4 linked regions of the Macaca mulatta genome follow. The protein of the gene in region 2 interacts with the protein of the main gene of each other region in a biochemical or structural test. Links are inferred from orthologs where the notes say so. Each region holds a gene or a part of one and is shown on either strand. Other genes may lie near its edges. The genes, in order: NHERF1, NF2, CD44 and SPTBN1.

Region 1 (7,933 bases), on a different chromosome or scaffold from region 2:
AGGACTTGGGGGGCTGGCCTTCCCTCCTAAGCATAACAAAGGTGGTGTTGCTCCAGCTCAGCCCCAGGGGACACAGATGCACTTTGGGGGTGAGGGCAGGTAATGACTCCATCGCACCCTCAGTTCAGCTGGAGAGAGGCTGAGCTGACCCCAGCCTTCACTGTCTTCTGCTCTCCAGGAGCTTATCTTCACCCCATCCCCCAAATAAGTGGGCCCTTGTGCTGTGAGGGAGACCAAAGCCTCAGGGAAGATAAGAGATAAGGAGATGGGAGGTGGAGGACACAGGGCAGAGAGTAGGGTCGGGCTGGCTACCTCTGGCCTTACTAACACCCCCTTGGAGGCATGCCCCTTTTCTCCAGCACACAAGCACACTGGGGCACCTGGAAATATTGGTTCCCGGCTCCTGTTCTCTGGACCTCAGATCCTGGGGGAGACCCTCCCCATGGAATCCCTGGCTTAGCTACCTTCCTGCCTGTGCACCTAAAAACCTCAGGTCAGAACCAGGAAAATAGTTTTGTTTTTTATTTTTTTGAGATGGAGTCTCGCTCTGTTGCCCAGGCTGGGGTGCAGTGGTGCAATCTCCGCTTACTGCAACCTCCATCCCCTGGGGCTCAAGCGATCCTCCCACCTCAGCCCCCCCAAGTAGCTGGGACTACAGGTGTGCACCACCACACCTGGCTAATTTTTGTATTTTTTGTAGACACAGGGTTTCGCCATGTTACCCAGGCTGGTCTTAAACTCCTGAGCTCAAGCGACCTGCCGGCCTCGGCCTCCCAAAGTACTGGGATTACAGGCAGGAGGCACCACGCCCAGCCGAGATGTGTCTTATCCCAATCCTTTGGCAGGCATGCAGCTCCACAGGCAATTTCTTCAAGCAGCTGAAGTGTTTAGCTCTCCCGGGTTAAGAGCCAGATAAGGAGAAATCCCTTTCCTAGGTTTGGAATGTGTTGTGAAAAAGAAATCCCTGGCTCCTGGAGCTGGTGGGAGACAAGATTAAGCAAACCTCCCCCCACGTGTATCCCTTTGACCCCAAGCTCTGCCTCCTCCCTGACCACCCATGCCCTTTCCTTTAACTTCTCAAATAGATACCAGGGCCTAAACTGCTTTACCTCCCCACCTACTCTGTCAGGTTAGGGGGTGGGAGGTCACCCATCTCTGAATTAAACCAATGCAATGTGAGTAAAACAAGGTCATGTGGGTATGTCGGGGGTAGAGAGAGGGGTAGCAAGTTCATGTGGCCTCTTTGGTCACATGTCTCCCAAAGCTCTGACCCCTGCCATTGGAACTGGACAGGAGACATGAGGTCATGACCTGCAGGCACCTTTACTGCAGCTCTGCAGGCCTGGGTGGGGATGGGGGGGAGGAAGAAGTATGCACTGCACATTTCTGAGCCTACAGCATTTGCTTTCAAGGCAGAAATCTTGCTCTGAGCAGTCAGCGGCTCCAGTTTGGGCCCGATGAGGAAGCTCTCCGTGGCCTCTCCCAGGCAGAGCAGGGAGGAGGCTGACATTGCCAGTCTCTTCTGGGGCCCAAGGCAGGTTGCAGGAGCTCCAATCCCGTAGACAGCTCTGGGCCTCTTGCATTTGAGTTTTTCAGAATTAAACTGCAGTATTTTGGAAAGCACATCCTGTCCACTGTTTGAAGTAAGCGTGGCAGGGGGGTCCTGTTGAAGGAATTGTCATTCACTGCCAAAATCATTCCATCCTCCTTCCTCAGTGTCTGTCCTCAGATGGCCAGCTACCCTCCTAAGAGATTGTCTCCCCGCCTCTGTGACCACCCTCTCTTTGGCAAGAGTGAGCTAGAAGGCTTTACGGTCCTAATCATTTTTCTCTGTTGAAAAAAAAAAAACCAAGGCCTTTCCCTGTGGAGCGTACCCAGAGGTTGATTACCTGAGTCTGTCCTGCCTCTCCCCACCCCACCTCCCTAGTCAAACGCTGCGCCAAAGCCCACGCCATTGGCCTAGATGGCCTGTCTTCAGTGGGCTGCCCCTCGGGGTCCCAGGCTCTCCTTCGCTGAGCCCTCATCTTCCCAGCAGGGATCAGAACCTGCACTCCTCTATGCAAGTCCTGGGACAGCACAAAGTGGATTAGGGTTAGGGTTCCCACAAACGGAAAAATGTTATTCAAACAACTCTGTAGGTTCCCAGGAGGCCCTCCGTCTTAATTCTTGAGACCGCTAGGCCCTCACTGCCCCGAGCGCGGGAGTGGTTGCCACGGCAACAGCCTCTCCCTCTCAATTGGAGCTGCACCCAGGCTTTGGCTAAAGGCTGTTAAAACGTTGGCCAGGTGCGGTGGCTCACGCCTGTAATCCCAGGGCGGATCATCTGAAGTCAGAAGTTTGAAACCATCCTGGCCAACATGGCGAAATTCCGTCTCTACTAAAAATACAAAAATTAGCCCGGCGTGGTGGTGCGCGCCTGTAATCCCAGCTACTCGGGAGGCTGAGGCAGGAGAATCGCTTGAACCCAGGAGGCGGAGGTTGCAATGATCCGAGATCGCGCCACCGTACTCTAGCCTGGGCGACAGAGCGAGACTCCGTCTCAAAAACAAAAAAAAAGTTAGAGCCCTTTATCCGAGGGCCAGCTCTCCTCACTCCCCGCCACAGGTAGGGGAAACCAGGCCTGAGCCAGCGGGCCCCACCGCCCAGAACCGGGAACTCGGCGGGCCACGCCCCTGCCACCCCAGCGCCGGCCGCTCGGTAACAAACACTTCCACTTCCTGAGCGCACTGTCTTCGCCCGCTGCGGGGCGCAGTGCCGAGCACAGGCCCCGCCCCGCGCGCTCCCATTGGCCGGCGCCGTTCACCCGGACGGAGCGCCCCGGCCCGCAGCCCCCTATTGGCCCGCGGAGGTCCCCACCCTCAGTGCGGCCCCGCCCCCGGGGTAAGGAGCTGGGGCGGGCTCTGGGACGCTCAGACGCCGCGCGGGGCGGGGATTGGTCCGTGCAGTTCTTTCGGCTCCTCGCGGCCCGCGGCGGCCGGCGGTTCCTGGGACACCTGCTCGCTTCGCCCGTCCGGCGGCTCAGGGCTTCCCCGCTGCGCTCCCGGTTTGCCGGACAGGAAGAAGGGCTGGGCCGTCCCGTCCCATCCCCAACGGAACCCCAAGTCGCGCCGCTGACCCGTCGCAGGGCGAGATGAGCGCGGACGCGGCGGCTGGGGCGCCCCTGCCCCGGCTCTGCTGCCTGGAGAAGGGTCCGAACGGCTACGGCTTCCACCTGCACGGGGAGAAGGGCAAGTTGGGCCAGTACATCCGGCTGGTGGAGCCCGGCTCGCCGGCCGAGAAGGCGGGGCTGCTGGCGGGGGACCGGCTGGTGGAGGTGAACGGCGAAAATGTGGAGAAGGAGACCCACCAGCAGGTGGTGAGCCGCATCCGCGCAGCACTCAACGCCGTGCGCCTGCTGGTGGTCGACCCCGAGACGGACGAGCAGCTGCAGAAGCTTGGCGTCCAGGTCCGAGAGGAGCTGCTGCGCGCCCAGGAAACGCCGGGGCAGGCCGAGCCGGCGGCCGCCGCCGAGGCGCAGGGGGCTGGCAATGAAAATGAGCCTCGCGAGGCCGACAAGAGCCACCCGGAGCAGGTAAGCTCGGCCCCGGCCGCGCAGGCTAGAATGGAGTGGGAGGGGGATCTAGAGAGACCCAGGTGCCCCGGCCGTCCAGCCCCGCGCCGGCCGTCGTTTTTCTGAAACTCGAGCTGCGAGGGGGAGACCGCTTCCGCCCGCCTACCAGGCGCTCTGGCACATCCTAGGCAGGCCTGGGGCTGCGTCCCGCGACCTCCTCTCCTTCCCAGGCTGTGCTGGGAGCCTGAGAGCCTTTGCCGCCTGCACCTCTTGTTCCCTGGCCTTTGGGAGGGCGGCGCAGGGGAACCCAGCCCCCCTTCCCTCGGGTCTGCGGGTGTCTGCTCCCCTTCCTCGGAATCCCCCAATCCTGCCCGTCCCCTGGCGCCCTCTCCTCGTTCACCCCAGTCCGCAGATGGGCCAGGGAGGAAGGGCTCTCCTCCCCAGAGGTGCCAGCTTCCCCCGCCACTCCTACGTCAAAAGCTAGAGAAATAGCATTACTCCTGTGTGGAGCCCCGGCGCAAGGAGGCCCTCCCCGCAGCCCGCCGGTGTGTGTCCTGAACTTCAGTCCTGCAGGACTTCATCCTCCCGGGACTTCTAAGGGAGAGGAAGCCCCACCATCTCAGGGCGGTGTGGGGGTTGCCTGGCGGGGAGGAGGAGCCAAGGCATCTCGGAGTGGTGGTTCTGCCACCTCAGAGGATTTACGATTCTCAGGAATGTGAGGAGTAAGCGCCTAGAGCTGTATCTGGGAGGGGAGGGGGAAGACCTTAGAAGAAGAGAAAGATGGCTAGGGGGAGGGGAGAGAGCTCCTGAGGCTCACGGCCCTGTGTGCGCCAGCGGAGCTCACGGTGAGCCGGTGGTCTTGCCCTGGCCTTGCCACGGTCACTCTGGTGCCCACACAGCCAGCAGGCCGGTTGCTTTTTGCCCATGTTTGGTGTTTGCCCATAGGATCCCAGTTTGGATCAGCTGCAGGAGGGGCAGCTGGCAAAACAGGAGTTGTGCTGAGCCTCCTGTCCCCAGAGAGTGGAGTGGTGTACTGTGTAGGGCAGGGCGTGAGCCTCCCAGGGCCCCTTCAGTTTGCACCAGCTCGCCCTGGTGGCAGTGTCTGATGGGAGTGTCCATGGGGACCAGGAGGATCCTTCTGGACAGAGAAAGGGTACAGTTTGGCATTAAGGGAGAAGGCAAAGCCCTAGAGGATCAACTGGTTTGGTGGAAGTGAGGTCACCAGAAGCCCTGTCCAGCCAGAGGTGGGTGCTGGGAATGCCAGGGCCACCAGGCTCCCACTTCCTGCCCCTGCCAACCTGGCATTGGCAAGGGGAGGGGGAAGGGACCTGAGCACCCGTAGCAAGGGGGTTGACACCAGGGAGTTGGGGCTGATGATCTCCAGTCCCAGGCAGAAATCCAGTGTGAACTTTATGCTGAGTCCATCGATCGATTTGACATTCTTTTTTTTTTTTTTTGGACTTTGGAACCCACACAAATACTCACCCACCCCCACCCCCCACAAGTTACAGTCTCATTCAGCTCCTCCCTTTGCCCTTTTGGTTATGCTGCTGGGTGCCAGAGGGCCTGGGAGGCTAATGTGGAGGCCTGGCATAGCACATGTGCCCAAAGGCAGCAGCTTTGAGCTTCCTGGGTAAGCACAGAATCAGATTCCTGCATGTTTTGGAGGGACACCTACATTTGTGTGTACTTTGTTAGGCCAAGAGATGAGAGAAGAGCCACTAGCAAATCCTGGGGACACCATCACCAGCCAAGTTCGAGGACTTCTGAGCTTTGGTTCTCCCATCTGTGAGATGGAGGCATTGGGCGATGTGATGCCTGCCTTCTCTAGAATTGTAGAAATGACATGAAGTACCTGAGCCTCTTATTAAAGTTTTAAATGCTGAACCGCACTCCTTCATGCCCGGCGTTTGAACCCCAGATCCTTAAACTGACTCCTAGTCAACACCATTGAGTCCCTCTAGCAGAAAATCCCCGCAACCCCGTGTGTTGAGCATACAGATGGCCCGGGCGGTTATTGCAAAAAAATGTTAACAGACATTGTAAGAGTTCTTTTTTCTAAAACACACCCCTTTACTACTAAAGCATCAAATGGAGGTTTGCCAGTTCGCTTTAGTCTGAATTTGTGTGCAAAGTGGGGCTGTTTCCTTATCTTCATTAGCCCTCCACTTACTAAGTGAGGATCTCAGTGGAAAAGTGTGGCACAGAGAGTGGTTAACTGGGTGGCCTCTGGCTGGGAAGACCAGCCGTGTCCAGAACCACTCATGGCAGAGGCTGATGGGTGCCTGTAACACTGGCCGTCCCCGCTGGGATGTCTAGGCCTAAGGAGGTAGAAGTGGCTCTCCAGCTCTGCCCACCGGCTTTGCTTTGTGGATGGCCTTCCCCTCATCCCCCATGGGGACAGAGGGGCAGCAGCACCCGCCCTGCTGCTCCCCTGCTTAAAACCCTCCTCCCCCGATTCACCACCAGTCACAGGATGAGGCCTAAACCCTTGAGTCTGGGTTCAGAGTGCCGGCTGCGCAGAGCTGAGCCAGCTCAGCTGTACTAGCCAGGCTGTGCGGAGCCAAGTTACTTCACCTCTGTAAGCCTCCATTTCCTCTTGTGTAAGTTGTTGGGGGTGATGGCAGCTACCTCGGAATTGCACGAGGCTGTGTGTAAAGCAGGTAGCTCAGTGCCTGGCACTGAGTCCAGGCTCATCCAGCCTTTGCAGTTGGTATTGGAATGAATACATATTTCACAGTGATCATTGCACATCTATCATGGGGCAGCTAGCACTGGGTCAGCCTCTGCCTAGTTGGGCAAGTGCCACTGTGGCCAAGCCTGGCACCCAGTCAGTGCCCGATCAATGGTCACTGTGGGTTAAGAATGATATGTTGTGGCCAGGTGTGGTGGCTCACACCTGTAATCCCAGCACTTTGGGAGGCCAAAGTGGGAGGATAGGATCGCCTGAGCCCAGGAGTTCGAGACCAGCCTGGGCAACATGACAAGATCCTGTCTCTATTAAATTTTTGTTTTTTTTTTTTTTAAAGAGTGATATGCTGTTCCATGGCCCTTCTCCATCTGTCATCCTGTTCTCACCACTACCTCCCTATCCCCAAAACCACACCCAGGGTCCGAATTCGTCTCTAGCCTCTGAGCCTTCATACCCTGACCGTTCTGTCCCTTTCCAGGGAGCCTGTCCTTAATCCAGTAGGCAGAGTTAGCATTTCCTTTCCTTCATTTTTTTTTTTTTTTGAGACAGATTCCACCCAGGCTGGAGTGGTGTCACAACCTCGCCTCACTGCAGCCTCGACCTCCAGGGCTCAAGCGATCCTCCCACCTCATTCTCCCTAGTAGCTGGGACTACAGGCATGCACCACTACGCCCAGCTAATTTTAAAATTCTTTGTAGAGCTGGGGTTTCGCCATATTGCCCAGGCTGGTCTTGAACTTCTGGGCTCAGGCGATCTGCCCGCCTCGGCCTCCACCTCCTCTTTGTCCTCACATCTTTTATCGCTCTGAACACACAATATTTTAATCATCTGTTTGTGACCTTTTTCTCCACTACATGGTAAGCCCAAGGGCATCAACTGTGGCCTATTTGTGTTTCTATCCCCAGCCAGTCCTTGGCACACGGCAGGGAGGCTCTCAAAAACAGTTTTTGAATTAATGAATGAATATATAACAACAGTCAGGGACCTTTGTCCTCATTTAGCTCATCCCGCCCCACCCAGAGATTGGAATTCCAGATAGAACCTACCAACTCCTCTTTCTTGCCTGCTAGCAGCTTCCATTTGAAAACTAGAAAGCCAAAAGTCCAGGCTTTGGGGTCAGCCAGATCAATGTTGAATCCCAGCTCTGCTGTGTGCTGGCTCTGGGATCCTGGGAGTTCATTTTTCCCTGCAACCCTCAGCCTCCACCTCTGTGAAGGGCACTGCCCGCAGGGTTATTGGGAAGATTTGGTGACATGACAGGTGTGTAAATGAAAGTGCCCAGCTTGGGGTGTTTCCGGCCAGCCCTGACCCTGATCCCAGAGGCAGAGAGTGCAGGCACCCCAGGGAGCAAGATGGGTGGTGGGGCACAGTTAGCTGGAGGACCATCAACCTCTTTGCCAGGGTGGGCAGGCCATTTTACACCAACCAAGTTGGAGCTCTGGTAGGGGCAGAACAGAGTTCGAGCTGCTGGGTGTTTGGATTTCAGATGGACAGGGTATGTGATTGTGTGTTTGGATCTTTGCTGGCAAAACAGTGTAGCCCTGGTTCTTACCTTCAGGCTCCTGTTAACTCAGTAATTCTGGAGATGATTCTCTTGGAGATAGAGGGGGGCTTCTTGGCTGGATGCAGTGACTTGTGCCTGTAATCGCAGCACTTCGGGAGGCTGAGGCAGGAGGATTGCTTGAGCCCAG
Region 2 (7,265 bases):
CCCAACCAGTAGCGCCAACCCCAAAATGGATGAAGCACCAGTCACCATCAGCCAAGGAGGAGCCTCCCCCCGCCCAGAAGATGGGGAAGCAGCTTGAGGACAGCTGCTGTAGAGCTCAGCCTCAGGGAAGGCTGGTCTGCGGCCCTTCGCCAGCCTCCTCACCAGTCTGGTGCCCAGTGCCCCCTCACCTCCTCTCTGACTCCTCAGCCATCTTCAGTGCCAGCACCTCGGCTTCCAGCACCTTCTGCTCCATCAGGCGCTTCTCCTCCTCCGTGCGAATGGCTGTGGCCTTGATGCGTTGCATTTCCTGCTCAGCCTCTGCGGCCTTCTGGGCCAGAAGTTTTGCCTCCTCCTCAGTGATCTGGGCCTTTTCAGCCAAAAGGTCGGCTGTCTCCTCAGACCGCATCTGGAGGGCACGGTGCTCTTAGCTGAAGCTGGATCATGTGTTATTCTCCCGCCCAGATCTGCCTTGAACACTGAGATGCGACAAACCAGAGTCTCGGACTCCTGGGGTCCTGCTGCTGAGTGCCCTCCATGACTCTCTGACAAGAGATGACAAGCCCCTTTCCCCAGCTTTTCAGAAGGGTCCTTTGGGCTGCACCCATGGGGAGTAACAAGAGCACCTTCTCTGAGTACCCACTTCAGCCCAGGCTTCTGCTGCATGTGGAGAAAAACAACTTAAACTCTGCTCTTTCCCTTTAAATCAGTGGTTCAAACCAGAGGAGCTTTTTGCCCCCTGCAAGAGACATGTGGCAGGCCGGGCACGGTGGCTCACGCCTATAATCCCAGTACTTTGGGAGGCCAAAGCGGACGGATCACCTGAGGTCAGGAGTTCAAGACCAGTCTGGCTAACATGGTGAAAACCCATTTCTACTAAAAATACAAAAAATGAGCCGGGTGTGGTGGCAGGCGCCTGTAATCCCAGCTACTCAAGAGGCTGAGGCAGGAGAATCACTTGAACCCAGGAGGTGGAGGTTGCAGTGAGCCGAGATCATGCCATTGCACTCCAGTTTGGGCAACAACAGCGAAACTCCATCTCAGAAGAAAAAAAAAGTATGGCTGGGCGCGGTGGCTCACACCTATAATCATAGCACTTTGGGAGGTTGAGGCAGGCAGATCACGAGGTCAGGAATTCAAAACCAGCCTGACCAACATGGTGAAACTTTGTCTCTACTAAAAATACAAAAATTAGCTGGGCATGGTGGCATGTGACTGTAATCCCAGCTGCTCGGGAGACTGAGGCAGGAGAATCACTTGAACCTGGGAGGCGAAGATTGCAGTAAGCCAAGATCGTGCCACTGTGCACTCCAGCCTGTGCAACAGAGCAAGACTCCGTCTCTCAAAAAAAAAGAGACATACGGCAATGTCTGAAGATGTTTTGGATTGTTACAAATGGAGGGTGAGGTGCTGCTACTGGGATCTAGTGCCTACAGCAAAGGATGGTCAGCCCCAAATGTCAGTAGTGCATAGGCTGAGAAGCCCTGCTGTAAAGGCAACCTCGTGGTGAAAGTGGAATTTGGCTGCACATAAGCTCAAACTAAATCTGCTTCTGCCAACACAGGTGGAAAGAAAAGGCACTGATCTTTTTTAAAGCTGAAATTAAGTCTTTCAAAGCAAACGCTGCTAACTCATGGTCTTCAGGAGGCCGAGCTCCAGAAAAGCCAAGGAAGCCCCCAGGTAGCCTCCTGGAACCCCGGCCCCTCAGAAATCACCAGTGCTTCGTTGGCCATAGTTGCTTCTTCTTTCATCTGCAGCAGCCTCCTCTCCAACTCATCCCTCGTGCGTTCAGCCTCCTCCCTCATCTGCTTCTCTCGAGCGAGGCGCTGCCGCTCCATCTGCGGGGGGTGAAGAAAAAGTCACTGAATCACAGGGCTCGAGACCTAGGGTGCCCAAAGATGCCCCATCTCCAGAGTCTCCCCTTTTGGGACCTTTTTCCTTCCCTTTCCTTTAGGTAACCAGGGTCATTCTTATTGCTCCCCACCCCATTCTTCTAAACCAGTTGCAGAGTTGAAAGCTGAGCCACTTGAAAAAAATTCTAGTAGTGAATGAACAAACGAACAACCAACAAAAAACCAAACCGAGTCTCGACCTGGATAGAAAGAGGCATTCTTTTTTTTTTTTTTTTTTTTTTTTTTAGACAGTCTTCCTCTGTCGCCCAGGTTGGAGTGCAGTGGCATGACCTCGGCTCACTGCAACCTCTGCCTCCCAGGTTCAATCAATTCTCCTGCCTCAGCCTCTCCAGTAGCTGGGACTGTAGGCGCCTGCAACCATGCCCGGCTAATTTTTGTATTTTTTAGTAGAGACAAGGTTTCACCATATTGGCCAGGCTGGTCTTGAACTCCTGACCTTGTGATCCACCCGCCTTGGCCTCCCAAAGTGCTGGATTTACAGGCATGAGCCACCGTGCCCAGCAGACGGAGGCATTCTTATACATGGTGCACTGAAATGGCTACCTTGCCAATGCTGCTTTTTGTTGGGAAACCTCAGGTGGCTCTGCCCCGTGGCTGATGGGACACAATGCAGGACCTCCTCCCTCAGATAGAGCCCCAGAAATAAGCAGCTTTCTCATCTGGGCAGGCAAGTCATCTCACCATTTCTAATCCACATGGACCCCTCTCACATCTCTGATTTCATCAACAATAGCTCCACTCTTGCCTCTGACCCACAGAGAAGATGGAATCATTCTACGTGATGCATCAATAGTTCACACATTGTATTTCACAGGGGGGAGCTGCAACAGCCACAGCACAGACTTGCACAGCCTCATGCAGAGACAACTCCTGAGCCAGGCCTATGACAGGAGGGAGCCAGGCAGGGAACACAGCCCCCTGTCCTTAAGGCAACAGTACAAAGCCACCACTACCTCCCTTGCCTTCTGGATCACTGCATTAATTGGACCACATGCTGAGCTTAATAAGGGGAACAAGTACAAGACAGTGCCATTCCTCTGTGATCCTGGGGTACTAACTGAGTTCAGAAAGCAGAATCCAGAAGTGTCCACTGCATTATTTTCTGCCTTAAATAATTTAAAGCACATTTAATTACTTCTTGCTTCAATCTTATCCCACACTCTGGTCATACAAGGTTTCTAAGACTGCTGCTTTTTCTAAATCCTAAGTAAAAAAAAAAAATATATATATATATATATACACACACACATATTATACACACATCTACATACATTGGAGCTTGAAAAGATAATGCAAAGACAAGCAATAAAACGGTGAAAGTTGTTCTCCAATTTTCTTGCAAGTCAGTGAAAAGCTTGGCCAATTTGTTCTCTAATTTCCATCATATTACAATTTCCATAAGGTGGCTTACTACATATCTATAATTCTTTTTTTTTTTATGCTTTAAGTTCTAGGGTACATGTGCACAATGTGCAGGTTTGTTACATATGTATACATGTGTCATGTTGGTGTGCTGCACCCATTAACTCGTCATTTACATTAGGTATATCTCCTAATGCTATCCCTCCCCACTTCCCCCTATAATTCTTAAAGAAAGAGAGAAGAGAAGAGAAGAGAAGAGAAGAGAAGAGAAGAGAAGACAAGACAAGACAAGACAAGACAAGACAAGACAAGACAAGACAAGAGAGCCCAGTTAGGCCAGGCAGGCACAGCAGCTCATGCCTGTCTTCCTAGCACTTTGGGGGGCCAAAGCGGGAGGAATGCTTGAGCCCAGGAGTTTGAGATCAGCCTGGGTAACATAGAAAGAGCTGATCTCTACAAAACAATTAAAATTAACTAGGTGTGGTAGCATGCACTTGTAGTCCCAGCTACTTGAGGGGCTGAGGCAGAAGGATTGCTCAAGCCCAGGAGCTCGAGGTTACAGTGAGCTATGATGGCACTACTGCACTCCAGTCTTCGTGACAGAACAAGACCCAGTCTCTTATTTAAAAAAAAAAAAAAAAAAAAAAGGTCAGGTAATCTCCTTCAGTTCTTGGCACTGTACTTTCCTGGAGACCTCTACCCCAATATAAAGGACCTCCTATTCACAAAATCAGTTTGCTGCTTACAAAGACTGTAAGGTGTAATATACATCCCTTCATCCGAGATGGAGAAGGTACATCATTAGTTTCACCTGATGGATGAGAAAACTGAGGTCTGGAAGGTAAGTCATTGACTTAGTCACATTCTAAATTTCAGATCTGGCTCCAAGGTCAGTGTCTGACCTTGATCTGTGGTTGCCCAGATGCCAGGTTTGTGGTTCTGCTGTGCTGTAGGCAGTGCCGATCGCAGTGTTCCTGCTATTCTCTGCCGGGGCCCACAGGCTACATATTCCTTGACACTTTCAGATTTCTTACTTCTAAGCTTTGCTCTGCTAAGAAAAAGGTCAAAGAGAGCTCTCCTCCTTCTTCTTATTTATTTTGGTATTTTGTTTTGCTTCTGTTTTGAAACAGGGTCTTGCTTGGTCACCCAGGCTGGAATGTAGTGGTGCAATCATAGCTCACTGCAGCCTCAAATTCCTAGGCAAGTGATCCTCCTGCGTTGGCCTCCCAAAGTGCTGGAGTTATAGGGATGAGCCACTGCCAAGAGCTCTTCATGAAACTGCCACTATGACCCCATGCTGGCTCAGTAGGATTTCTTTGTCCAACAAATCCATCCCATCACCCCCAAAGCATCCCAAACAACACATCTGTGGCCTGCCACCTCAGAAAGCAAAGAGATGAAGAGCTGGAAGCACACTGGGCATTTCACTCTAAATCCTAGGGCTGGGAGCCAGCCTCTCCATTGTATCAAAATCAGAAAGGTGCACACAGACTAATTATTACACCTCTGAGCTTCCAAGTCCTGAGGGCAGCCAACTGCAACCGCTGCTACTCTATCTAGTAGTTCATCCAAAAACACAACTGATATTCTCAGCAGTAAGGCCCAAATTAGTTGTGTGGATTTCCATGAGTAGAGAAGGTTTATGAGTAGAAAACAATGATGCAGATCATCCAGTCTGCTGATAGGTGCTCCTGCCACCTCCTGGGGCAGGTGACATGCCATGCGGTCTCACCTGCAGTGGGGAATTGCGGCCAGAGTCCAATTAGCATTCCAGCAGCAAGCACTGAAATGCCACCCTGCATTCTATCACCATCTAATTAGAAAAGGAGAAGGCTGCACAAGGAGGCAGACAGGCAAAAAAAGCAAGCAAGCTAGCTAGCTGGACAGACAGATGCATGCACTCTTGGCTATTTTGTCCCAAACCGGTGTTAATCACACTTAATTTCTCCAAGTGTAGAAATTACTAGAGATATTTCTTTTAGATATGCTATTAGGGTTTATTCCTCATTTCCAGAGCTGACATCCCACCAGGTAGGCATCAGCAAATGAAGATCCAACAGGGATAAAACAAGAGCAGGTATGTCCATGGCCAAAAGACTCCTGCGAGCCCACAACCACTCCTCACCTCCCAGGCCAGGACTGATCACACAGTGACATCATCAGTTAAAACAAAGTCATGCTCACCTGCTTTCTAGCCTTCTCCTCCCTGGCCTGGGCTTTCATCTGCTGAACTTCCAAAGAATCGGCTTTCCTCCTCCTCATAAATAGATCATGGTTCCCGATACATAGCTGGAGAATCTGTGGCCACAGAAGCAGACAAAAAGGTTAATATCCACAAATTTACTTCACTGCCTGCCGGCTCACTAGTGCTATAGCAGTTTGAGCTCTTGCAGGTAGCAGTAAACGTGAAGATGAACGCATGGAGTGAAACACTAACGCCCTGCTAGCGGCCTCTAGTGCTCTCAGCTGTGGAAACATGCAAAATGAAGGTGCCTCAGATATGCCAGGAGGTAAAAATCACAAATGAAGAGAGCACTGGAGGACACTTCACCATGTCTTCTGGGTGCACCTTACTCTCCTACATCAAGATGTGGTTCTGCAGACCAGGGAGGATAGGAAAGCTCATTCAGTAAGCTGGGCTAAGGCAACAGGGTGCATGTGGAAAAAAATAAGTTGGATCCCTCCCTCACACCTTACACAAAAATCAACTCCAGAAGGATTGAAGACTTAAATGCAAAGATTAAGCCCTTGAAACTTTCAGAAGACAATATAGAAGAATATCTTAATGATCACAGGATAAGAGAAGATGCCAAGTAAGACGCAAAAAGTGATTAAGAAAAAAATTTATATATTTGTCTACATTAAAATTAAACATTTTTATTGTCAAGACATAAAAAAAGAAAAACAGAGCCACCAACTGGAAGATATAGCCAATAAAGAAAACAGCTTAGGTGCAGTAGCTCACACCTGTAATCCCAGCACTTTCGGAGGCCAAGGTGGGAGGATCCTTGAGCCCAGGAGTTCAAGACCAGCCTGGGTGACATAGTGAGATGCCATCTCTACAAAAACATCAAAAAATTTGGCCAGACATGGTGGCCCAGCACTTTGGGAAGTGTAATCCTAGTACTTTGGGAAGTGGAGGCCAGCAGATTGCTTGAGCCTAGAGTTTAAGATAAGCCTGGACAACATGGCAAAACCTCGTCTCTATGAAAAATACAAAAAATTAGCTGGGCATGGTGGTGTGTGCCTGTAGTCCCAGCTACTGGGGAGGCTGAGGTGGAAGGATCACCTGAGCCTGGGGAGGTCCATGCTGCAGTGAGCCATGATCGTGTCATTACATTTCAGCCTGGGCAACAGAGTGAGACCCTATTTCAAAATCTCAAACAAAAAAAGTTAATATGATAATGAGATACCATTTTAGATGCACAAGATTGGCAAAAATTTTTAAAGGCTGATAATACAAGTATTAAGGATAGCAAAAAAGAAATTTCACCCACTACTGTTGGCTCTGTAAAAATCAATTCACCTTCTTTAGAAAACAATGTGTCACAATTTTGAAATTTGAACATATACTGAGCCCTGTACCCCTACTCCTAAATTCTATTTTTTATTTATTTTTATGTATTTATGTTTTTTGAGACGAAGTTTTGCTCCTGTTGCCCAAGCTGGAGTGCAATGGCATGATCTCGGCTCACCGCAACCTCCACCTCCTGGGTTCGAGCGATTCTCCTGCCTCAGCCTCCTAAGTAGCTGGGATTTATAGGCATGTGCCATCACGCCTGACTAATTTTATATTTTTAGTAGAGATAGGGTTTCTCCATGTTGATCAGGTTGGTCTCGAACTCCTGACCTCAGGTGATCCACCTGCCTCAGCCTCCCAAAGTGCTGGGATTACAGGCATTGAGCCACTGTGCCTGGCCCTATTTTTTATTTTTTTTAAATTTTATTCATTTTCATTTTTGGGGGGACAGGGTCTTGCTATGCTGCCCAGGC
Region 3 (7,265 bases), on a different chromosome or scaffold from region 2:
TTTCTAATATATGGATTAGTATAGCCCAGGAGAAGGTTAATATAGAGACTATAAAACGGGAATAAGCTTTTTTTAATGACGTAGCAAAATTGTGACTCTGAAAGATTATTCATGTATATTCTAAAATTACCACAGTCATAAAAAGTCTTGGACTTTCATGAGGAAATAGCATAGCTAGATCTGAAAAAATATAGAAAATCTTCATCAATGGAACTATTCTTGGGGTAGACACTAATCATACGAAAAGGCAAATGCTCATTCCCTAAGATAGCCTGAATCTCATTTAAAATGTAGAAAACCCCGTTTTAGTAAAAAGACATTGTCTACAGTAACCACTGAGAAGAAGATGAAGTTTTTCATCTCCTTTTTTTATTCAAAAAGAAAAAGAATTTCTCAATATCTCAACCACAGTTCACTTTAGTTAACCCCTTTGATTGCCTAATAATGCCAAAAATGATTTCTCTGTTAATTGGCTCCACATTTTTGCTCTATGCTGAAGTAGTGTTGGGAACTGCAGTGTAGCTTCCATCTCTGAAGACAAAAAATGAATTAGCAAATTGTGAACACAATGAAATGACTGACACAGGTGTAGATTCCAAATTTTTCTGAAGGAGTCTTGACCAAAAAAATAAATAAATAAATAAATAAAGGCACGTATGAAACCTTTCCATTCTGTTCTTGACGGCTTGGCTTTAATGGCATATGCTTAATGAGTTAATAATAAACACATCTGAAAGCGTGGGGGAGTTTTCATTGGCCTTTGAAGACCTATTTTAGCTTTCTTAAGGAGAATATTCAGTTTTAAAGATCACAGTCACTTGTTTTGAGATTTATGTATTAGCTTCGGAGACCAGAACATAAGAATTTGGGGTATGCAAGTCAACTCCCTCACTTTCTTTTAAAAATTCGGGAAATCCATTATACCTTCTGTGCCTGATTTTCTTCCTTTGCAAGTGGGTTGCCTGGCATCCAGCTCAGCCACTAATGCAAGTCACCACAACAGGTACGTCTTCAAATACCATCTCAGCAGGCTGGGAGCCAAATGAAGAAAATGAAGATGAAAGAGACAGACACCTCAGTTTTTCTGGATCAGGCATTGATGATGATGAAGATTTTATCTCCAGCACCAGTAAGAATAATCAATTACAGTACAGCCATTTATGCAAGGCTTATTGATTAATCTGAGTGATACCTAATTGTATCTCTCTTGAGAAGTAGTTAATGTGAAAAATAGGTGAACCTGTGATCATACCTTAGTTATATCTTGATGAGATTATGGAAGAAGAAATAGAATGTTTTGAGAAGTGGGGAAAATATCTCATAAAATTTCTAATGTCTCAGGTTCTTCCTGTTTTATTTATCAATGAAGTCTACTGCTACAGATTGTCTTTGAATGATCAGGCTTTGTCAGAGGATGACATTAAAACAGTCCAAAAAATATTCATTGTGTACTTACTGTGCTAGGTGCTGGAAACACAAAGATGAAAAAAGCCAGAGCCTTTGCCTTTCAGAATCTCATGGTCTGTTGGAGCAATAGACTTGAAGAATGTGATTAGGAGGGTATTAATTAAAATTTGTAGGCCAGGCGCGGTGGCTCACGCCTGTAATACCAAAACTCTGGGAGGCCGAGGCGGGCAGATCATGAGGTCAGGAAATCGAGACCATCCTGGCTAACACAGTGAAACCCCGTCTCTACTAAGAAATACAAAAAATTAGCCCGGCGTAGTGGCAGGCGCCTGTAGTCCCAGCTACTTGGGAGGCTGAGGCAGGAGAATGGCGTGAATCAGGAAGGAGATAGCGCCACTGCATTCCAGCACTCTAGCCTGGGCAACAGAGCGAGACTCCATCTCAAAAAAAAAAAAAAAAAAAAAGTTGTAGAAGATCCTAAATTGAAGGCCCTTAAGGCTTAAATGATGGGAGCTGGAACTCAAGAATTATCTTAATCAAAACCCGACTAAGGTCAAAGGAACAAATCCAGAGTTTTAACAAATGAGCTGGACACCAAAGACCTTGAAGGGAAGGGCAAATGTCAGGTTAGCTTTAACAAGACATTACCACTTATTAAAAGCAAATAATGAAACCACTATTGGTACATAATAGTATCCAAATTTTTGACAATTATAAAACTTTTTGAGAACAAAGAGATGGAAATTGAGCTTTAAAGATGTCCTTAAAAAGTTAAAAACATGCAAAGGTTGGTCTAATAGTCTGCCAGATTACTGAGTTTTCCACACATACCTGTAATGACTTAAGATTTTGCTGAATAGAGCTGAGAATCCTGAACCTGACTCCATCACAGTTTTGCTTTTCCTTAGAAAAAAGGCTTTTGGGGTGCTATGTGAGCTCCCCCAATTCACTGAAGTTCTATCCATTCCATTAAAACCTGACAATTTAATCCTCAAACGGATAGCACACAGAGAAGAAAGGGTCCAGAAAAAAAAAAATAGCTTAGGCCTTGAAGGCATCTGAATATATAACATTGATATAACAAATACTCAAAAGGAACTAGAATTTTCTATCTAAACTTTTAAGTGATTTTTTTAGACCCAGCACCCCTCCAGAGCTTAATCTATGGAATAAGAAAATTATTTTTGGTAACTTCAGAACAAAAACCAAATAATCAAAAACACTGGAGTTTTACATTACACTGTCTCCTGTGTTCAGGATGTGGCCCAGCTTTGCAGGTAGGTCCATTAGTAAAGACGTGGTCTTGATATTGAAGAAATTAAATTCCCTTGGGGAGTAACCCAAAGATATCTACCTGCAAATGAATTGTATGGTCAGGCTTCAGGGAAAAACTTCCCATGGTGTTTTTTTGTTGTTGTTGTTGTTGTTGTTGTTTTTAATTTTTAAAATCTCTATGGCATATTTTCCAATTTCAGTTTACTTTTCTGCTTAGCACCTATGGACATAATTCAACATGATGCCCTCTTTCTTCTGGAGGGGTGCGATAACTGCTTGATAATAAGCACCTTTTCATGCTTGTTGAGAATGTGGTTAATGATTCTAAACTCGATTTTCATAACTTGTAAAATAGAGCTGACAGTATTATAGTTCTGAAAACAGTTTTGTGTTATTTGGGTTTCAAAATAAAATTTGAAACAATTAGGATGGATTTGCAAATAACCTTTCCACAAAACACATTGATTCAGATTTTGTCATGATCTTTCTGTTAGGTGCATCTCCCATTCCAGCCCTAACAGATTGGGTGACGATATCAGGGTGCTGGTGGATGTATGCCTCTTTCTTTCCATTGTGCTTCTGTGATGGTGGCTGGTTACCTGTGGTGTCTTATTTTCTTTCATTGGCTATGAATGGCTTGCTCGTGACATATTTTGTATTTGATGAGAATACCATAGTGTTTGATAAATATTCAGAAATGGACAGCTAAAACATATGGCTATTCTAGGTAGGTAATATTTTTCGGAATCATCTATAGGAAAGCTCTGGCTGCTCAGACATTTCTTTCCCCACTGAAATTACTAACAACATAAAGTGATTATCATGGTATAACTTTCAGTTATCTGCCTCTTCACCCTGAGGATCTACAAATAGCACACAGTGACTAAGTCCCTGGGCTTTCAAGTGCAGAGGGATACTACAGACTGCATGGATGGGCAAAATGGTGCCTTTGGTTATCCTCGGTGAAGGGCTGGTGTTTTCAAAGCTGTCCTTCCTACTGCTGCAGCTTCTTTGACTGTTTTATCTGGAAGATCTCATGTTCTGAACCCTAAGGTATTCTATGACAGAATGCAAAGGACACTGAGATGCTTACCAATATGGCTGAATTAAGCTGAAGGCATCCTCCGCTTTCCCTCCATTTCCATGCCGCCATCTATACAACCTGGTATAGATGATTCATTGCATAGTCTACAGAAACAAGACTATATGCGAGACAAGTGGCGAAGGCTCAAGAAATAACATTTTTCTAATTGCTTCAATCATCGTTATCACAGTTTCAACCACACCACGGGTTTTTGACCACACAAAACAGAACAAGGACTGGACCCAGTGGAACCCAAGCCATTCAAATCCGGAAGTGCTACTTCAGACAACCGCAAGGATAACTGGTAATGGGTTATGCATATTTAATGAAAGGTTTTTTTTCCCCTCAAAGCCTATGATGCTGCAAAGGTCAATCATCGGGACACAGTGGGAAATTTAGCTAGTATCTCATCAAGAAATTCTTAGTGGACTTTCATGAGGATACTTAATTCCATTTAGGAGTCATTTATCAATTATACCATGTGGGTATATTTTTATGTTGCTTCATTATAAAAATGAATATGTTTGAAGGATTTATGGTGCTGCCTTTGACAAACTGATCATAGTGGAATAATAAGGGAACATGAAGAAATTCCAAGCCCATTGATTTTCTCTTGAGACCAATTAGGTAAAGTCACTCAAAATTTTTGAGAGTGGATGCTCAGAGATAATACTTTGGCATAGAATTGTTAAATAGCATGCACTTTAATGGAAGAACAGAATCATTAAAGCTTGATTGATAACAAGTCACAGTGTATTTAACCATCATCACAGCAGATGTAGACAGAAATGGCACCACTGCTCATGAAGGAAACTGGCACCCGGAAGCACATCCTCCCCTCATTCACCATGAGCATCATGAGGAAGAAGAGACCCCACATTCTACAAGCACAAGTAAGCAAGATGGCGGTCGGCAGTTCTGGGTTAGATGAGTTAGTGAAGACATTCCAGCAATAGGGAAGATTTTGTTTAGAAATTGGCCACATCTTCTATTTCCACTTAGTAATTTATTTTATTCTCAGAGCCTGAAAATCTGCCAAACTTGCACACAAATTTTAAAAATTGGAAGGAAAATGATAACACTTCAGGTTGCCCAAAGACCAAAATGTTTTAAGAAGTAGATCTAGATACAATTTTTGTGTTAAAAGTTCCTAGAGGTTCCATTTGGGTAACTTGTGTGTGTTTATGGAAATGTGTGGCAAAGTGTGTTCTTTTGGTGCTTAGTAGTGAAATCTGGAAAGAAAGCTTGTCAAGTGAATTGATCTTTGGAATCCTTATTTTCTATGAAGATCTTTGATGAATATAGTTTCTTTTTTGCATTCTGTCCTTGACTGTTCTATAGTCCCTTGTACTCTTTAGAACAAAGTTGGTAGCTCGTATGGTCTGCATTTGAATTCTATCACTGCTTCTTTTTCTGTTTTTAAGCCCAAGGTAACTTGGGGAAGGCTTTGATGCTCTTACTGTTATTTCTACTATTATGAAAACTTGTCAGTTTTTCTAAAACAATCTCAAGTTGCAGCACTGGACTGTGAGAATAGGGGACCCCCTCACTCCCCAAACATAAGAAGTAAGTGCTTTTCTTCTTTTATCTGTCCCACTGAGATATGTCTATCTTATTTGGAATAAGAGTATTTATTTTGGAAAACAGCTTTTTAGCATTTTTAAAATGATGATTTGACTGTCATTCTCACAGCCCTAAATACACCTAATGCGGAAATGTGAGCTATAGCCACTTAAAAACCAAAGGGCTTTGGGAATCTATAGCTTGAGGTGTGTCTTCAGACAACAAAAGAAAAGTTTCAGGTACCAGCTAGGATAGAGGTTAGACGTTGTACTAAATATATCCAGCAGACCTTACATTCCATTACAAACCCCAGTAGATCTGATGTATGCATAAGGCTTACGGACTAAGTTAACAAAGAAGTCTAGGAAAAGAAAATACAGAGGAAGCATAAATCTCTTTGGAATAGGATTTTGTTCCAGTCCCTTAGAGCCCTAACTGTATATCTTAGAAATTGTTTTAGACAGTTTGCACTTAAAGACCAGAAAGCTACTTTAGAGACTTGGAAATAATGAGCCTATTGTCAAAAGGTGGTGCTTGGGGTGCATTAGGACTAGAGGGTAGGTGAAAATTCAGACAGAATGTAACTTGACAAAGAGAAGACAGTGAAAACTGTAACAATTCTCTTATGAATATTTGCGAAACTCAAAGGGATCTGATTGGTGACCTCTGGTCTTTATCAAATTAACATCACAACTTCTAGAAGAAAGTCAACCTTCATCTTTTACAATAGAAATCATATGTTTTGTGAACTCATTCCTATTTAGGCTGAAAACAATAAAGAGTTATGGGTACTTTAAAAACTCATTAAAGTAGTGATAGAAGGAGTATAGAGTCCTTCTATGCAGTCACACACATACACTTCCTTATTTCTTTTATTTAAACTTTGAGTAACATGGCAGTCTATGTTTGGGTCAATATTCCTTTTTATGTAATTACATTCAGTGGTTTTTCTAACTTCATTATTGGTTGGGAATTAGTGATTTAGTCAGTGGTAGGTAAAACTTAAGATTCTGGCTTTTTTCCCCTCCCCCTGGATAGCCAGTTAACCCAATAATGGCTTGGCCAATGTAAGGGTAAAATGAGGACTGTTCTATTTTTTAAATGTCATTGCCGTCACCAAATCACACATATCATTTTCTAAGATAATGAAATACAACCATTTTACAAGTTACAAAAAAAATACTCTGGCTTGGCAAGTTAATAGGCTCTCATTTTCTTGATAAAACAAAATTGCTTTAAGTTGCTATAGTTAAAAATGTTGGTGGCTTTCTGACTTTTCCTGAAGGCACCTTGATGGAATTTTATTCTGTTGATTTTGTCCTTTTTAAAATAATGGTTGAAATTTTAAGCCTGTCACACACTATTATTTATATAATGCCTCAAACTGGCTTGGATAGTTTTTGTCAACTGAATTAATTTTGTTAAAAAGTGATTTTAGCAATTTTAGGCGCCATATGAACATTGCCACATAATGTGTTAGTGAAATAGCATTCAAGCCATCCCAACACCTTTCCTGCTGGGCAAATCCACTGCTGGTGCATTTCCAGTGTGTGCAATTATGGGTTACATGACCACCATTTGAGACGGTCTCCTAATGCGCTGATCTTGTCAGTTGTTATACAGTATTTTCCTTTCATCAGAATGACTGGAGCGAAGAGGTTATTCTTTGAATGGTTTTCTAAGACAGGGTATGTGACGCCATACACTACAGTAAAATAAAAATAATGATAACTCATAGAACTCTGAGAATTCATCAGCTATGGTCTGCTTAGTCCTATGGTTTTGAACAAATCAAAACCTCTTTGGACCACAATGTTCCCATCTGAAAAATTAAATGTTTGGATCATTTTATTTCTAATATCCCTTTCAGAATATCAGTGGCCTGTTTCCTTGCTGCTTTTCTTTTCTACCTTCTGTTCCCATGTGTATCTGCCCT
Region 4 (7,265 bases), on a different chromosome or scaffold from region 2:
CATCACAGACACCCTGCATGCAAACATGTGACTGTGCATTAAAAGAAATACGGCTCCAATGACAGCTGCGTTAGATCACGTATAACAGAAGCAATCCTTTGCGTCCGTTAAACTGCTGTCTTACTGTGAATCTTGCAATATGCTCTTGCAGCAAAACCTTAAGAAGGAAAGCCCCTAAACTATGAAGCTTAGGGTCTGTCAGCTTTAAGCACCACATTGATGAATCTAGGTCTCTGGGGGATTTGCCTGGAGCCAGACAGGCTGAAGACAGGAGTGCCTCGTCTAAGTGACACGCAAGCATTAGTAACCCATTTGAATAGGATACTCACTTACAGAGGCATTCGTGTTCCAAGACAGGGCATAGAAGAGAGTAATGGGATCTAAAGCTAGCTATATGGAGTTGGCCTAGTGTGCTGTAGTAATACCAGTTGCCATTTTTCACCATAGGGAGTAAAAGGGATGAAGAGGTGTTTGCAGCTTGGACTGTGCCTTCCACAGATTGGTAGTCCCTGTTCCACGTTGAGGAACCATCAGTGACTCCCTGTAACCTCAGCCCGTATTCCTGGAGATGGGGAGGTCAATGGGATCCCACACTCCTGCTTTTAAAGGGCAAGTTAATAAGATGAAATTCATTTACCTAACCATGGTAAAGCTAAGGTTAAATCTGAGAAAAAGAAGGCCGGGGTGCGAGCACATGAGTGGCCAGGGAACCCTTGAGAGAAACTCATTTGTATTGGAAATTTCCAGTCTCTTATTTTCCACTGACATATGTAGATTTCACAAGTAGACATATATGGGAAAATAAATACATAAAGTTTTAGTTCTTCCCGATGGAATCACAGGAAATGGTCAGTCTTAATAGGTCTTTAGATCTTTGTTTCCACTTGCTCTAAATTAGCATCCCTGGTTATGAGGAGTTCTTTCCTCCACACACACCTTGGCTGAGTTCCAGTGATTGTGAGGCATGCCCAGGGGCTCTGTCTTCTGTGACTTCTCCTCAAAGGACACAGGAAAATTTAGGTGGGGCTTTTTATGTCCAGGAGATGATTTGCATATCTCCATGTGATTGCTCTGCCAACTCATCTTGGTTTATCCTGTCTTCCCTTGTTCTGCCTGTCTGTCCTTGAGCCACATTAGAAGTTAGTACAGCCATAGTGCGTGTGGGAGGTGTCGTGTATCCCACACCAGCATGTATAGTCTCTGCATGGTTGGTGGAATTTAGGTCAAGCTTGGGGGCTCTAAAACTCTTGGTATAGTACTATAATCAAAAGGGTGATACAGTCATTGGCTATAAATTTTCCCATCATTCAGCCTTATTAAAATATACCCCTTTTAAGCCAGAATCTTTTGAGAATGGTGTTTGTGTGTGGACCAGCCCTACATTTGATAATCTACCTGTCATTCTGGTAGATATTTACAGAGCACTCAGAGGTCAAATTTATTATTATTACAGGATGTTGGTATTGTTCAAGATATGGGGAATCCAGGGGTTTGTCTCTTTTTTCGGCTTCCTTCCTTGTTGGGTGCCTTGGCTAGAGAAGGTGTGGGTTGTAAGATCCACCCCTGTTGCCACCCGCATAAACATCGCCTAGATGAGGACAACTGTTATACCAGCAATACAGTATGCTGGCATATACAGTATGCTGGAATGAGCAGGGACCCTCCTATTCCCAGTTACAGTGGGAAGATAGAGACCATCATCATCTTTGTAGTGTTTTTGTTTTGTTTTGAGACAGGGTCTCTCTCTGTTGCTCAGGCGGGAGTGCAGTGGTGGGATCTCGGCTCACTACAGCCCCCACCTCCCGGGTTCAAGCGAGTCTCCTACCTCAGCCTTCCGAATAGCTGGGATTCCAGGCACGTGCCACCACACCCAGCTAGTTTTTGTATTTTTAGTAGAGATGAGGGTTCACCCTCTTGGCCAGGCTGGTCTTGAACTCCTGGCCTCAAGTGATCCACCCTCCTTGGCCTCCTGAAGTGCTGGGATTACAGGCGTGAGCCACCGCACCTGGCCTGTAGTGTTATTTTAATGTGATGTCCTGAAAAATGAATGAATGATTTTAAAGGTGTTCCTTTTTTTGTTGTATTTCCTCACGCTATACCACCTATTTTCTGGAACTGATTTTTATTTTTCCAGGAAGGCAGGCAGTATGTCTACATGTGTCTGGTACAGGGATGTGAGTTAATCCTTTGCTGTTAGCTTAATTCAATGATCAAAGTATTTTTTCCTTATCTTTTTCCAATCTGCACAGTGTTCTTTTCTGCAGAGAATGAGTAAATTCTTAAATGACCTTTGTAAATGCCCACAAATAATAACTGTAGCTCTGGCTCCAGAATGCTGATGAACTAGCAAGTTCCATAGATCCATTTCATTGTGCTGTATCGCATGATGCTTTATCTGTAGGATGATGTGTTCAGCAAAGAGCAGATTTGTTTATAAGCCTCTGATTTTTATGTAGCGCTCCCTCTCTCTCTTTTTAATCCCTCTTCAATAGGTGGTTATGAATAGTGAAAATATGTGAATGTCCTTGGCACTTGGAATCGATAAACGCCTTCTATTTTGTGTGTATGTACAGAACACAGGGAAACATTTTGTCATTCAGTTTCCCTTTAACCTCTTTTCCCCTAAGATTGAATGGCCATAGTCTTTCAGATTTAGCTGCCCAGAAAACTGGAACATAGATAATTATTTCAAAGTAGGAAGTGCAGTGCCTTTATTGTGTAATACATCCATTGTCTTTGATGACAAAGGGCTTTATGAGATTTGCTAGTTTTTCCCTCAACCAAGAGTGACATCAAAAATCTCACTACCTTTTGCTTTTAACCCCCTCCCACCCTCTGGCCCCTGTGCCATTCCCTGCGTGGTGAGTAGCCCGAGAAAGGTAAGGACAGTACCCAAGAGTTCACCCACTTTCAGAGTCGGGGGCTCCTGTGACCCACATCACTATCCTTGACATCATTTCCAAAAAACAAATCTCTGGGGGGGCCTTTCCTGGCAGCAGCCCACAGCGGGAGTGGAAGGGCCTTGGAAATGTTAATTCTGTAAGTACTTCTACTGGTTTTATGTGCCACTTCTAGATCTTTGTTGATAGATCCATGAAGGATTTAAGGTGCCAATTTGCTGTGACAATAACTGGTATAAAAGTGGGCTTCTCACGGTCACTCAGGAGAAGAGATATGGTCCCTTCAGTTGGTTGCTTCTAATTCCAGGCTGGCTCTGCATTCTTTTGTGTATCTTCAGCCTGGGCAAAAAAAAAAGCTTTTCCTAGGTTAGCACAGCAAATGGGGTGGGAATCAGAACTCTGGCATGGCGTTTACAGGCAGGCAGTAATGAGCCAGGGCCGATTCCGGATGGAAGCCAGGAAAAGTGGGTCTGGGCCTGGCGTTTGGCTGACCCCAGTAAGACAGCTCCTTTCTCAGGTCTGTCAGCGGCCGGCAGCCTTTGTGTGGCTCTCCAGAGTTCAGATCCAAGCGGACATGTTGGGTCTCAAAATCAAGTCCTGTGAAGTGTTCTTGGTGTGAATGAAAGGTTCTTAGAGAACTTGAGGCTATAGAAAAAGAGGTGAAGGTGACTCAAACTTGAAGGAAACATTGAAAGGGCATCATTGTTGCCTTAGCCCTACAGTGAGCAAGTTATTTATGCCTTTTGGCATTCCCTTCGATGCACCCGCAAAAAGGAGGAGGTTACAAATAAGCAGTTTTTGTTTTGTTTTTTTAAATAAAAAAGAACTAAAAGAGTTAGAAGGATTGCCAAATGGGGTAAAAGTCAATCATGATTAACATGGTATAGCTGACACAGGTATTTGGAAGAGAAAAAGGGTCGTGTCTTGGACTGGTCAGGGCAGAATTTTAAACACGGGCCTTTTGTGGGGAAAGCCAGTTTTGAGTGCCAAACAGTTTGAAAGCTGGCTTATAGAGCTTTTGTACTTCTGGAATGAATGTTAGATATAGTTTGGAGCAGAGCTCAGGTACAAGCTCCATCTAATGGACACCTGTCATGACGGGTCGGAGTTGTGAAGTTAAATATTTGGCTGTCTGTCACCATGGAAATGTGTGTAGTATGCATAATATGACATAAACACAACCCATTGCAGGCGGAAAAAAGGCTGACGTCTAGGATCACAATCGCTGAATCCTTCTGATCTTTCCCTAGCTGTCTCTCTGGATCAATGAGAAGATGCTCACGGCCCAGGACATGTCTTACGATGAAGCCAGAAATCTGCACAGTAAATGGTTGAAGCATCAAGCATTTATGGCAGAACTTGCATCCAACAAAGAATGGCTTGACAAAATCGAGAAGGTGAGTTAAAACATTTGATGTGGCCATGGTGAGAAAACAAACAGGGTAGTAATAACCTCCCTTTTATTTAGCACATTTTCCAAAACATCTGAGTCTTATCTGTACATTTACGTAAGTTACACAGCCAGTAATAGCAGCTCTCTTTGCACTTACGGGTTCCTGAATTCAACCCATCAAAAGGGAAAAAAAACAGAAACCCAACCAGATAGTAGAAAATGCTTGATTTATCTTAGAACGAATATTAGGCATTTAGTTTCTATCGTGCCTCTCATCTGCTGTTGCTGATGGACTGTGAGCTCTCATGCAGGGATTCCCCTATCTTGATCATATTATTTGTGTTGCACTGTGACAGATTGCACATAATTTTAAATATATACATATTTTTTAAAATTCCTTTTTCCTGTGAGACTACTGTATACCAGGCACTATAATAATTATTATAACTTGTAATTCTGGCACAGAGATTCCGTGCAGCATAACTGAAGATGAACGTGGAGTTCCCCACCCCTCCCTTCTCTCCTTTTAGACTTTTTAAATTGTTTCAGATTCTTCATGGTTAAAATAATGTGTTGGCGGAGCATGGTGGCTCACGCCTGTAATCCCAGCACTTTGAGAGGCCAAGGCAGGTGAATTACTTGAGGCCAGGAGTTTGAGACAAGCTTGGCCAACATGGGGAAACCCCATCTCTATGAAACGTACAAAAATAGCCAGGCCTGGTGGTGTGCGCCTGTAATCCCAGCTATTGGGGAGGCTGAGGCATGAGCCCAGGAGGCAGAGGTTGCAGTGAGCTAAGATCACGCCACTGTACTTCAGCCTGGGTGACAGAACAAGACCCTGTCTCAAAATAATAACAATAGTAATAATGTGTTTTATATCATCTTTGGTCATGGAGTAGAGGGGATGAAGTCAGGTTATTAGCATTCATTTTTCCATTGCCTCAGTTGAAACTGTTTCAGCATTTAGCATTTATTGCTTCATTCCCATGAAACCCATGTAATGTATGCAAGCTAGGCCATTGTTGATTTTATTGAGCAGTAACTTCATGTGGAAATACTGTGTGTGTTGAATGAGTGGGTAAATCACAGATCAAATGTCCTAGGTTTGTTTTTCACAGTGACATTTTTTCTGTAGCAAACTGTTTATTTACAACCATGCTGGTTTTGTTTTCCAGGAAGGAATGCAGCTCATTTCAGAAAAGCCTGAGACGGAACCTGTGGTGAAGGAGAAACTCACTGGTTTACATGAAATGTGGGAAGTCCTTGAATCTACTACCCAGACCAAGGCCCAGCGGCTCTTTGATGCAAACAAGGCCGAACTTTTCACCCAGAGCTGCGCAGATCTAGACAAATGGCTGCACGGCCTGGAGAGTCAGATTCAGTCTGATGACTACGGCAAAGACCTGACCAGCGTCAATATCCTGCTGAAAAAGCAACAGGCAAGTGGACAAGCCTTCATGGACTTGGGTTTGTTTCTGTTTTACAGCCGTAGTCCTTACAGTCTTTTCTCACTCACTGCATTCTCAGGAGTCCACCTTCCATGGGAAAGCATTTGTAACCCAGAAAAGTACTTGCTCTAACAGCATCATACAACATTTCCAGAATAGAAAGCTACCTGTCCAGCCTAGAAAGACACAGTATTAGGAGTATTGGGTGTCGGCTGTCTGTGTATGGGATTGATAATTTTCTTAGTTAATAGGTGTTATCGCTATTTAACAGTTAAATAAATACTCATCTCACTCAATTCTGCATTTTACATTAAAGAAATATTCACATACTTTGTTGTTTAACATCTTGATTTGTGACAGTTATCTGAGTTGTTCAAGGCACTTTATAGATAATAAAAGTAACTGTTTATATTACATCACTGTAGAGGGCTTTAAGGGCAAATGAATTTACCTCAAATTTACTTGAAAACAGTTCCATTGATGTTGAAAAAGCTAATCAGTGGCAAAATCTTCCAGTGGCTCCCATTGCTGGCTTTGCAGTGTGGCCAAGTCCCTGGCCCAGCAGTTCTGCTTAGAGCCAGTCACTGCAAAAGTAGTCTCTGCTGAGCGCTGAGGCTGCTTCTTTGCCTTCAGATGCTGGAGAATCAGATGGAAGTGCGGAAGAAGGAGATCGAAGAGCTCCAAAGCCAAGCCCAGGCCCTGAGTCAGGAAGGGAAGAGCACCGACGAGGTGGACAGCAAGCGCCTCACCGTGCAGACCAAGTTCATGGAGTTGCTGGAGCCCTTGAACGAGAGGAAGCATAACCTGCTGGCCTCCAAAGAGATCCATCAGTTCAACAGGGATGTGGAGGACGAGATCGTGAGTCAACCCCGGCTGCACACATGGCTTTTCCACAAGCCCCCTTGCCTGTCCTAAAGCCCATGTTCTCACTTCTCAGTCAACCTCACCTTGGGCCACGTTGGCAAGTTGAGCTGTCAGAGTCCACGCTCTGGATGGTCTAAAGTTTCTTTCCCTTTTCACACTAAGTGCAACTCCATTGTGCCTCTCATGTTATCTAGGGATACTCTAGGATTTTAACGGCCCTAAAACAGACTTTTTAAAAGTAATGAGGACTCACAGTGAGTCTGATCTTGAGGATGAGGTAAAGTTGGAAATACTCTCCCTACCCCTGTCTCGGAGAACAACGGCATGCTTCCCCAGACAGCCCTCCCGAGGGGGCTGAGCACTCTCTGAAGCTCACCCTTGCTGTCCCTCACTGCCCCTCACCGCTCTTGTTTCTGTTGTGTATTTGTTCCTCTGAGTGGATCTGACCACTTATTTACAATTTTTCCCAGTTGTGGGTTGGAGAGAGGATGCCTTTGGCAACTTCCACGGATCATGGCCACAACCTCCAGACTGTGCAGCTGTTAATAAAGAAAAATCAGGTAAGCCTTTCTGCTCGGGCCATCTCTGTCTGATAAATAATTGCTCTAAATTATGAGACTGAGAATGGCAGAGAGTTTTGAAGCCTTGCGATTTCTTTTT

Evidence for each region.
Region 1: the proteins of NF2 (region 2) and NHERF1 form a complex in vitro, tested with the Homo sapiens proteins (2 studies listed by BioGRID). The link is inferred for Macaca mulatta from reciprocal best matches to the Homo sapiens genes NF2 and NHERF1.
Region 3: the proteins of NF2 (region 2) and CD44 form a complex in vitro, tested with the Homo sapiens proteins (2 studies listed by BioGRID, with this or other methods). The link is inferred for Macaca mulatta from reciprocal best matches to the Homo sapiens genes NF2 and CD44.
Region 4: the proteins of NF2 (region 2) and SPTBN1 form a complex in vitro, tested with the Homo sapiens proteins (2 studies listed by BioGRID and IntAct). The link is inferred for Macaca mulatta from reciprocal best matches to the Homo sapiens genes NF2 and SPTBN1.

The regions. Positions count from the first base shown.
Region 1 is NC_133421.1:84,419,756-84,427,688, forward strand, and holds the start of NHERF1 (Na(+)/H(+) exchange regulatory cofactor NHE-RF1), read left to right. Parts: upstream 1-2,959; 5' UTR 2,960-3,130; coding exon 3,131-3,571; exon of another isoform or gene 3,572-4,139; intron 4,140-7,933. UniProt on the Homo sapiens protein: Scaffold protein that connects plasma membrane proteins with members of the ezrin/moesin/radixin family and thereby helps to link them to the actin cytoskeleton and to regulate their surface expression. Necessary for recycling of internalized ADRB2.
Region 2 is NC_133415.1:21,880,120-21,887,384, forward strand, and holds part of NF2 (merlin), read right to left. Parts: intron 5,571-7,265; coding exon 5,457-5,570; intron 1,836-5,456; coding exon 1,713-1,835; exon of another isoform or gene 1,095-1,712; intron 1,060-1,094; exon of another isoform or gene 407-1,059; coding exon 189-406; intron 1-188. UniProt on the Homo sapiens protein: Probable regulator of the Hippo/SWH (Sav/Wts/Hpo) signaling pathway, a signaling pathway that plays a pivotal role in tumor suppression by restricting proliferation and promoting apoptosis.
Region 3 is NC_133419.1:30,084,762-30,092,026, reverse strand, and holds part of CD44 (CD44 antigen), read left to right. Parts: intron 1-1,003; coding exon 1,004-1,129; intron 1,130-3,956; coding exon 3,957-4,070; intron 4,071-4,539; coding exon 4,540-4,659; intron 4,660-7,265. UniProt on the Homo sapiens protein: Cell-surface receptor that plays a role in cell-cell interactions, cell adhesion and migration, helping them to sense and respond to changes in the tissue microenvironment.
Region 4 is NC_133418.1:70,001,608-70,008,872, reverse strand, and holds part of SPTBN1 (spectrin beta chain, non-erythrocytic 1), read left to right. Parts: intron 1-4,150; coding exon 4,151-4,297; intron 4,298-5,468; coding exon 5,469-5,732; intron 5,733-6,374; coding exon 6,375-6,599; intron 6,600-7,075; coding exon 7,076-7,165; intron 7,166-7,265. UniProt on the Homo sapiens protein: Fodrin, which seems to be involved in secretion, interacts with calmodulin in a calcium-dependent manner and is thus candidate for the calcium-dependent movement of the cytoskeleton at the membrane.